Linked DNA regions of Saccharomyces cerevisiae S288C. The protein of the gene in region 3 purifies or fractionates together with the protein of the main gene of each other region. This does not show direct contact. Each region holds a gene or a part of one and is shown on either strand. Other genes may lie near its edges.

Region 1 (3,682 bases), 230 kb from region 3:
ATCTTGCCTAACATTATCTTGTCTTCTTTTCGTTCCCTTGAATCATATATAAGAAAAGATAATCAATCATTCGGCTATTTTCTTACAGATACATACATACGTATAATTCATCAATCATAGCATTAATAGAAGATAAAGTATAATGATCGCTACCTCCAGAGCCGTAAACATGAATAAAGAATCAAAACACAAGAAGGCTGTTGCCAAACCATGCAGAGAGAGACAAACTTCAGTTACAAGAGCCATGAGACCAGCTGTAGCACGTGATCCTCGCAGACTTTCGACGTCGTCGTCTCCTTCTTCGTCACCAATGTCAGCACAGAGAAGGCTTTCGAGGGAAGAAATAATAAACGAAATGGAAAAGGAGCAAGACGCTATTGTAGTAAGACTTCTACGGGAAATTGAAACTTTAAAAGAAGAAAACTCTAGGTTAAAAAATCAACTGCACCATCCGGTCCCGGCTAGAAGGTCGTCTCCATTTTTCGAAGGCGAGTCTGCCATCCTAGATGATGATGACTGCAATTATGGTTACACCCTCGACACTCCAAAGCTAAAGCTCACAGATGGTGCATCCAGACACACCGTACTTCCCTTAACACCCAAGGACTCCATGACCCACATTTCCCATTCCGCCAGAAGGTCAAGCCGGAACGCTTCCATATCTAACGGAACAAGCATCTCAGACACGATTTTCCCCATTGAGACTAAAATCCACTCAGCACCAACAACAAACAGAAACCTTCCCTCCGCCGATCTTCCACATCACACTCTTCTTCCACGTTCTCTAAGCGGCATTTCGTCTAGCGATTTAACCGAATCCGGTGCTCTTCTTCATGACAGGAGAAGGCGTTCTTCCAATTACAGTCTCGATGGCTCAAACTCTTTAAAGGCTGATCTCATGGCAAAGAGATTCCAAACTGGTTCATTGAAATAGGCTGTAAGCGAGATACATAAGAAAACAGAGTTTCTCTAAATATATTCTTCCTATTGATCTTTGGCAATCCAACACATATGCAGTTCGTGCACTTGCGTTATAAGCGTGACTTCTCGCTTGGTTTTTTTTTATAATTTTTTTTTAAAACCTCATTCTAAGTACAACTTTGGCGTTTTTCCAAGCTACTACTTATAATTATATGGTTTATTTCATAAATATATATATATATATATATATATATAGAAAATCAATATACATTTAAGCCTTACTGGAGATGACACTATTTTTGTTCACATTTTTTCTTATGCTCTAAATACCTCGGCCTCATACGCAGAGACAGTGTTGATATGTTTTTATACAAAGTAAAGGCAAAGAGAAGGCACAGACAGGATTTCACAGGCAGCTAAGTAATAACGAATATGCTTGCTTCACATATTTTGCCGCCAAATTACACGCTATGGAGCTACGTTCTACTAGTGGTTACTTACCGCTAGCTATTTAAACCCCATCACGTTGATTGTCTATTTCGCTATAGGTTATTTTGCCAAGAAAACTTACTGGGCAATACTTACATCCATTCAGATTTTTGGATAAAGCAATTGAAGAAAGACGACAGCAATTCGACTGGTGGTTGTTAATTACCCTTTGATCCTCTGATTTAAAGACGTAATCCTTCCTGGGGGTAAGTGCCTGATGTATGGGTCCCCATGCCCTTTTTTTTCGTTTCTTTTTTCACTCCATTTCTTTTTTTTTTTTTTTTTTTGGTGAAAAATTTGCAAGGGCAGCTCATCGCAAGAACGAAAATTTTCAATCCAATATTAAAAGTACTTAAGTGTAGCTGTTGCTGTCTGCACTTCCCAATCCATTGGTACCTTAAGTTATTTCCTTTCGTAGTATTTTTCTTACTTTTGCTTCCCAAAGACGAACTGTTAACCAATTTCGGATCACTCAACCCAGGCAGGATAAAATAAGATGGCTAAGACTACTAAAGTAAAAGGTAACAAGAAGGAAGTTAAGGCTTCCAAACAAGCCAAAGAAGAAAAAGCTAAGGCCGTCTCTTCCTCTTCCTCCGAATCTTCATCCTCATCTTCATCTTCATCTGAATCTGAATCTGAGTCTGAGTCTGAATCTGAATCTTCATCTTCATCTTCATCCTCTGATTCTGAATCCTCTTCTTCATCGTCTTCTGACAGCGAAAGTGAAGCTGAAACCAAGAAGGAAGAATCCAAGGATTCCTCTTCCTCTTCCTCTGACTCTTCTTCCGACGAAGAAGAAGAAGAAGAAAAAGAAGAAACCAAGAAGGAAGAATCAAAAGAATCTTCTAGCTCTGATTCATCCTCATCTTCATCTTCTGATAGCGAAAGCGAAAAGGAAGAGTCTAACGATAAGAAACGTAAATCTGAGGACGCCGAAGAAGAAGAAGACGAAGAGTCTTCCAACAAGAAGCAAAAAAATGAAGAAACCGAAGAACCAGCTACTATTTTCGTTGGTAGACTATCGTGGTCTATTGATGACGAATGGTTGAAGAAGGAATTCGAACACATCGGTGGTGTCATTGGTGCCAGAGTTATTTATGAAAGAGGTACCGATAGATCTCGTGGTTATGGTTACGTTGATTTTGAAAACAAATCTTATGCTGAAAAGGCCATTCAAGAAATGCAAGGTAAGGAAATTGATGGTAGACCAATCAACTGTGATATGTCCACAAGCAAGCCAGCTGGTAACAACGATCGTGCCAAGAAATTCGGTGATACCCCATCTGAACCATCTGACACTTTGTTCTTGGGTAACTTATCTTTCAATGCTGACAGAGACGCTATTTTCGAATTATTCGCTAAACACGGTGAAGTTGTTTCCGTCCGTATCCCAACACATCCAGAAACTGAACAACCAAAAGGTTTCGGTTATGTTCAATTCTCCAACATGGAGGACGCCAAGAAGGCTCTAGACGCTTTACAAGGTGAATACATTGACAACAGACCAGTTAGATTAGACTTCTCTTCTCCAAGACCAAACAACGATGGTGGTCGTGGCGGTAGCCGTGGTTTTGGTGGTCGTGGCGGTGGTCGTGGCGGTAACCGTGGATTCGGTGGTCGTGGTGGCGCTCGCGGTGGCCGTGGCGGTTTCAGACCATCTGGTTCTGGTGCTAATACTGCTCCATTGGGCAGATCAAGAAATACCGCTTCTTTCGCTGGTTCAAAGAAAACATTTGATTAATGAGAAAATGAAATGAATTTCAATTTCAATTTTTTCTCTTTTTACGTTAATTACTATATTCCATTTTTGAGGAAAAATTTGGTCTATAATATTTTGTGTACATTAGTAAGTAAATAGGATACATTCTTAAACCTTTCATTCACCATCTCTATTTGCCAACTTTTCTTCGAATGGCTTACTCTTTTTTTTTTCACGATGAGATGAGATCGCTAGATACGGAAGATTACAAGGCCTTGGAAAATACTCAAAAAATTTCAGTAATATGAAATGAATATCTAAATAAAAGCTTGGGCGTTGTGCTTGATTGAGCCACGAAAACTTCCTTTAAGGATTAGCACATACTCCACTTAAAAGTAGGAACATACTCACATTAAGGTGTTATCAGAATAAATGAATGTTCAAGACAGAAGGAGGTTATTAGGCCCTGCTGCTGCCAAGCCAATGGCGTTTAGCAACACTACTACTCATGTGCCAGAAAAGAAATCAACAGATTTGACACCTAAAGGCAATGAAAGTGAACAGGAACTTTCT
Region 2 (2,875 bases), on a different chromosome or scaffold from region 3:
TCATGTCAGAGAAGTTTCTGTGGTAGACTTAAATAAAAAGAGCTTGACCATGAGAAGCTGTAATTTAACGATGTGCAATCTATTAAAAGTCTACGAAACTGTAACATATAGCCCGCATCCCGATGACTCGGCTAATAAAACACTTTTCCAGCAGGAAGCCCAAATTACAGCATATGGATCCATTAGAAAGCTGTGTAATAAGATGGAAGATTGGTCAGTTCAAAGGTTTTGCGAGAACGCTAAAAAGGGTAAAATGGGATTCGATGCTGTTTTGCAAGTATTTAGTGAAAATTGGGAAAAACATGTTGATGACTTGAGCAATCAACTTGTCAGTAAAGTCAATGAAACCATGGAGGATGTTAAAATATCTGCAGGTACGCTTCTTAAAGGAACTGAAAGGAGCGGCAGAACCATCTTACAGCAAAATATTGACTTGTTTAGAGACGCATACAACCACGAAAATTAGAGATACAAATTCCTTGATCCCGCATGGCACTGCATACTACTTATATTCCTCTACTGTCTATCTATTCATTTGTTCTTTTGTTGTAAATAGAAAAGTAAATAATGACAATATTAAAAGCCTTTTTCAAAATTTAACGATCAATTAAAATATATAAGTTTTAAAAATACTTTACTTAAGCGTTAACCTTGTAGACGGAATGACACTTACCACAGTACAATCTGTCCTTGTGGTTAGCCAAGAAAACACCAGCACCACAAGTTGGGTTGCTACATTCTCTTCTCAATTTGGTAACCTTACCTTCAGCATCGACCTTGTAGTAGGACAAGACAGCCAACTTGACCTTCTTGTGCTTGTGCTTGATCTTCTTTGGGGTGGTGTAGACCTTCTTCTTTCTCTTCTTACCACCACCTCTCAATCTCAAGACCAAGTGTAGAGTAGATTCCTTTTGGATGTTGTAGTCGGACAAAGTTCTACCATCTTCCAATTGCTTACCAGCAAAGATCAATCTTTGTTGGTCAGGTGGAATACCTTCCTTGTCTTGGATCTTGGACTTGACATTGTCAATAGTGTCAGAAGATTCAACTTCCAGGGTAATAGTCTTACCGGTTAAAGTCTTGACGAAAATTTGCATCTTGGCTTGTCGGCAAAATTAAAAATTAACTGCTTCTTTCTTACCAAGTAATCTTGTGACTTCTTTGTATTGGAATAAAAGATAGAAGTAAGGAAGTTTCTGATATAACGAACATCTCAAAATATTTAAACCATTTAATAAGTCTAAAAGTATCTAGTTTTTCATTTTGATGAGTTCCCACCGCTTGAAAAAGTGCGCCCGGGCCAAAAAAAAAAGTTTGTACTAAAATAAATGATAAATGATAAACCCAATTCCTTACAGGATGCACGGAGGTAAACAGGAAAGATATCTCAAGAACTTCTCGTTCATTAACCCCAGGTAGATCGCACTAAAGACTTCACCACTATTGATAAAGGTTTTGTAGAATATTTATTATCGATACCTTGCGGTTGCAAATTAATATACCCATCAAATAATTAACCCCAACCAAGTTTAATTTCTCTCCTTTCAACAAATGGGGAGGCTCAAATGTTTTTACTTACTTGAAACACTCTTTTGATTTGCTACAAAATAATCAAGCAGCGATATTTAATATGAAATTCTACCTTTAAAATTACTCCTATGACTCCACATGCATGGGGGAGGGGTAAGATGCGCAGTCAAATCAGAGAGAAATGTTATGTAGCAAAGATAATGAGTGCGTCTGAATAAAACTAGAAGTTTCTTATATACACGACACCAGAGACGGTTTCCATGTATCTTCAAACATCCATATACGGCTAGTAACTCTTTTTTAAGGTATTTTTGTTTATCTGGGCTACTTATGTACGTATATGTAATTAATTATTTTGAGATTCCGAAAAACTAGAATGTCGACAGAAAACAAAATAAAGAACCGTTCATGCATTAAAGGGATATAGAAAATTGAGCAAATTTGCTTTGTCATCAAGTGGTGTTACAACATGAACTCATTATATGAACTCGATCCGAAATGGAAGAAACTATTGAAAACGGACAATTTCCTGGGCGGATTAACAGTCAATGAATTCGTTCAGGAATTGAGCAAAGACCATCGTAATGACGTGTTGATTGATGCAAACACGAAAAATCTTCCAACCAATGAAAAGGATCAGGATGCAATCAGAGAGGCTATTTGGAAACAATTAGATCCAAAACCTTACATTAGAACTTTTGAATCTACCTTAAAGGAACTAAAAAACTTAAATGAGGAAACACTAAATAAAAGACAGTATTTTTCCGAGCAAGTGGCTACTCAGGAAGTTATTCATTCGGAGAATGTGATAAAATTATCCAAGGATTTGCATACTACTTTACTTACATTCGACAAGCTAGATGATCGCTTGACAAATGTTACTCAAGTTGTTTCGCCATTGGGAGATAAATTAGAAACCGCAATCAAGAAAAAGCAAAACTATATTCAAAGTGTGGAATTGATTCGCAGGTACAATGACTTTTATTCCATGGGAAAATCAGATATTGTTGAACAATTAAGGCTGTCTAAAAACTGGAAATTAAACTTAAAGTCCGTGAAATTAATGAAGAATCTATTGATATTATCATCCAAACTAGAGACAAGTTCAATACCAAAAACAATAAACACAAAGCTGGTTATTGAAAAGTACTCTGAAATGATGGAAAATGAGCTGTTAGAGAATTTTAATTCTGCATATAGAGAGAATAATTTTACTAAATTAAATGAAATTGCCATCATTCTCAACAATTTTAATGGCGGTGTTAATGTCATTCAAAGCTTCATCAATCAGCACGATTATTTCATTGACACCAAGCAGATTGACTTGGAAAATGAATTTGAGAAT
Region 3 (3,247 bases):
AGAGATGATAAGAAAATTCTGAAGATTGTTAGAAAGAAAAGAGATGAAAATGGTATAATTCAAAGGCAGACAATTTTCATAAGAGATCCTAGGGTCATTCAAGGATATATAAAAATCAAAGAACAGGATAAAGAAGATGTTAACAAATTGTTAGAGGAGGACACTTCAAAGATAAATAACTTGGAAGAACTTGAGAAACAGAAAAAACTGTTGCAACTAGAATTAGCTAATTTGGAAAAATCACAGCAACGTAGAGCAGCAAGGCAAAATTCGAAGAGAAATGGTGGTGCCACGAGAACAGAAAACTCTGTGGATAATGGTAGCGACCTTGCCGGTGTAACTGACGGGAAAGCAGCCAGGAATAAAGGTAAGAACACTACAAGGAGATGTGCTACATGCGGACAAATCGGGCACATTAGAACAAATAAATCTTGTCCAATGTATAGCAGTAAAGATAACCCTGCTTCACCAAAGTAGATTCAGTATAACGATGTATTGATCGAATAAAACTTTTGTAAAGGTTTTGTATAATGTAACAATAAAGAAATGTACACTATGTTTCTAAACACTGGCAGTGATCAGATTGATAATTTATTGAGTCATATCCTTAAACGATGGACGTGGTGTGTGAATGTGCACTTTTGCAGTAAGATGAAAAGTGCATATTATTTGAGTTCCATTAATATAGCCCAACTCACTGATTAAACACAATAATTGTTGTCTTTGTGCTCGAGTATTTAAAGCTTGTATTTTTCCAGTCTGATTGGAAATCACAGAGGTTAAAACATAAAGGACAATAGCAGAAAAGGTTCCCTAATATGCATTTTTCATACTGGTTGCTCTTTTCCTTTACAAAAGCAAATTCTTACTCAAAATTTAATCTTTTTCCCTATAGTAACCTGTTTGTCTTGATAAATATAATATGATTTATGTAGTTTTATTACTATAATTATATCAAAATTTTAATTTGTGTCTATTTTTTCCTCAACTAAGTTACCTTTTTTCATTTATATGCATTTGTGACGCACTCAAAAGTGTGATGCTGTCGTCAATTTTATAATGTTAAGAATATTAAAGCAAAAGTTTCCTAAAGTAATATCTGAAGTGCTCTAAAATCATAGTTTATCAAAAAATGCAACATTTCGAAAGTTCAGATAAGATAGAAAAGGATGATGATACATCAAGAATTAAATTACGCTCTTCTTCTTTGGCCGCTCCAATCCTCGAGGCTGTTCAAGAAGCCCAGCCTTTTGAAGAAGCCACTTTCTCTAACTTACAGAAGATACATCCGTTAACAGAAAACTCAACTTGCAATGGTTATGTTATTTACGATAAAGATGGAAATTTGAAATCCATGAAGGATACATTTGGTAGGAATATAAAAACACCTGATATTTCAAATCCTACAAGAGCAAGAAATGAAAGGCCATTGGATACAATACGTGGATTTGAATACTCCATAACAAAAGATCCCCGCTGGTTGCAAGAGCTAGAAACATCTAAGTTGGGATTTAAACCTAGACCTGGATTTGCCGTCATTAATCAAGACTCACAGGCTTCAATAAATTTATCTCAACTGGAAGAAAAAGTTATGGAAAGCCAAAAAAAAAAGGAGAAAAGACACATATCACGGCTTTCTCGGTTACTCTGCAGATGAATATAAAGATAAGTACGCTAAGATTATAAAAAGTGCTTGAAGCTCAAAAATATGTATTCCTTTAATTTCTGCGGTACCCTATGCCGGAGCACTAAGAAAAACACATTCAAAAAAATTTTCATACTCATCTCATCTCTACAATTAAACAATACATAAAACAAATATCGTGACTTAGTTATTTTACTTATATCATTCAATAAACCTAATCAATCAATGGCTAAATTACAGAGGAAGAGAAGCAAGGCTCTTGGGTCATCTCTAGAGATGTCCCAGATAATGGATGCAGGAACAAACAAAATTAAAAGAAGAATAAGAGATTTAGAGAGGTTATTAAAAAAGAAGAAAGATATACTTCCATCCACAGTAATAATAGAAAAGGAAAGAAATTTGCAAGCTTTACGGTTGGAATTGCAGAATAATGAACTCAAGAATAAGATTAAAGCCAACGCTAAAAAATATCATATGGTGAGATTCTTTGAAAAAAAAAAAGCATTGAGAAAATATAACAGATTATTGAAGAAAATAAAAGAATCTGGCGCAGATGATAAAGATTTACAACAAAAGTTGAGAGCCACTAAAATTGAATTATGTTACGTGATAAATTTTCCCAAAACTGAAAAGTATATTGCACTATATCCGAATGATACACCATCTACAGACCCAAAGGGCGTAGAATTGACAAATCTTAGAAGAGAACAATTTCTTAAATTAGTAGCTGAAAGAATGGATGCGAACACCTTAAACGTATCTTTCGAAGAGATATTGAAGGGAAAGAAATTGGATGAAGATTCCATCGGATTAACATTATCACCTGATAAAGATCATGAGGATGGATCACAAGTATCACCTACACAGGATAGAAAAGAATTGGATCAAGTTGTGGGAGAAGATGAAAAGGATGACTTTTTTGAGTAAAAAAATTCTAAATGCGTTATGTAAGAAAATATATACGAAGATGTATACTAGATAGATTTCCACTGTTATCTTTCACAAAATAATTGTTGTTTTAATTGTGTCTCACTAAGAGATTAGTTTATGGACCATATCATAACGTAATCCTAAAGCGTCATTAATAAGGGAAAATTGCAATTCTTCGCCACGAATTTCTTCGGGAATAAATAGATCACAATGTATTATGACCTCTTTATTCATTTGTTTTGGTTGACACCTTTTAATCATCAGCAGTTCATCGCCTTTGTGTCCAATTAAAAACCATAGTTCTTTTTGTATCTTAGGGAATTTATCACAATATACTTCAAACCCATTATTATGCTTACTAGAAAGGTGCTTGCTATAAAATGTTAACACCTCGTTATTTTCCTGTTCTTCAAATTTCATGCCTTCTAAAACCGGTAATCTTTGGCAGACACTGACGAAACGTTTTTTCGTATCTTCGCTTTCTGTCATTCCAAAAGTTAGTTGATCAAAAACATTTAATAATTTCTTATATCCAAACCTTCCTATTTCCTCCAAGGTTAACAGCTTTTTCTTCTTTTGCTGCGGCGTCATTTCAATGAACCCCTGCTCGCTAAAAGTGTAATCTTTGATTCTTCTCAGTTGTAATCCTGGAAGTACACTAACAGGATCGTC

Evidence for each region.
Region 1: the proteins of EFG1 (region 3) and NSR1 purify together in Saccharomyces cerevisiae (affinity purification with mass spectrometry, with the first as the bait; 2 studies listed by BioGRID). This does not show direct contact.
Region 2: the proteins of EFG1 (region 3) and RPS31 purify together in Saccharomyces cerevisiae (affinity purification with mass spectrometry; 2 studies listed by BioGRID). This does not show direct contact.

The regions. Positions count from the first base shown.
Region 1 is NC_001139.9:805,881-809,562, reverse strand, and holds NSR1 (Nsr1p), read left to right. Parts: upstream 1-1,906; coding exon 1,907-3,151; downstream 3,152-3,682. Other genes in the region: RTS3 (Rts3p), read left to right, coding at 143-934; exosome non-catalytic core subunit MTR3, read left to right, coding at 3,542-3,682. UniProt on the Saccharomyces cerevisiae protein: Involved in pre-rRNA processing. Specifically binds nuclear localization sequences. Candidate for a receptor at the nucleus that may be involved in both RNA and protein transport. Binds telomeric sequences of the type (TG[1-3])n in vitro.
Region 2 is NC_001144.5:497,169-500,043, reverse strand, and holds RPS31 (ubiquitin-40S ribosomal protein eS31 RPS31 fusion protein), read right to left. Parts: upstream 1,098-2,875; coding exon 639-1,097; downstream 1-638. Other genes in the region: UPS2 (Ups2p), read left to right, coding at 1-466; exocyst subunit SEC10, read left to right, coding at 2,000-2,875.
Region 3 is NC_001139.9:1,037,125-1,040,371, reverse strand, and holds EFG1 (Efg1p), read left to right. Parts: upstream 1-1,870; coding exon 1,871-2,572; downstream 2,573-3,247. Other genes in the region: TAF1 (histone acetyltransferase), read left to right, coding at 1-477; YGR273C (uncharacterized protein), read left to right, coding at 1,133-1,657; SLH1 (RNA helicase), read right to left, coding at 2,678-3,247. UniProt on the Saccharomyces cerevisiae protein: Involved in rRNA processing. Required growth at elevated temperatures, resistance to hydroxyurea and for cell cycle progression.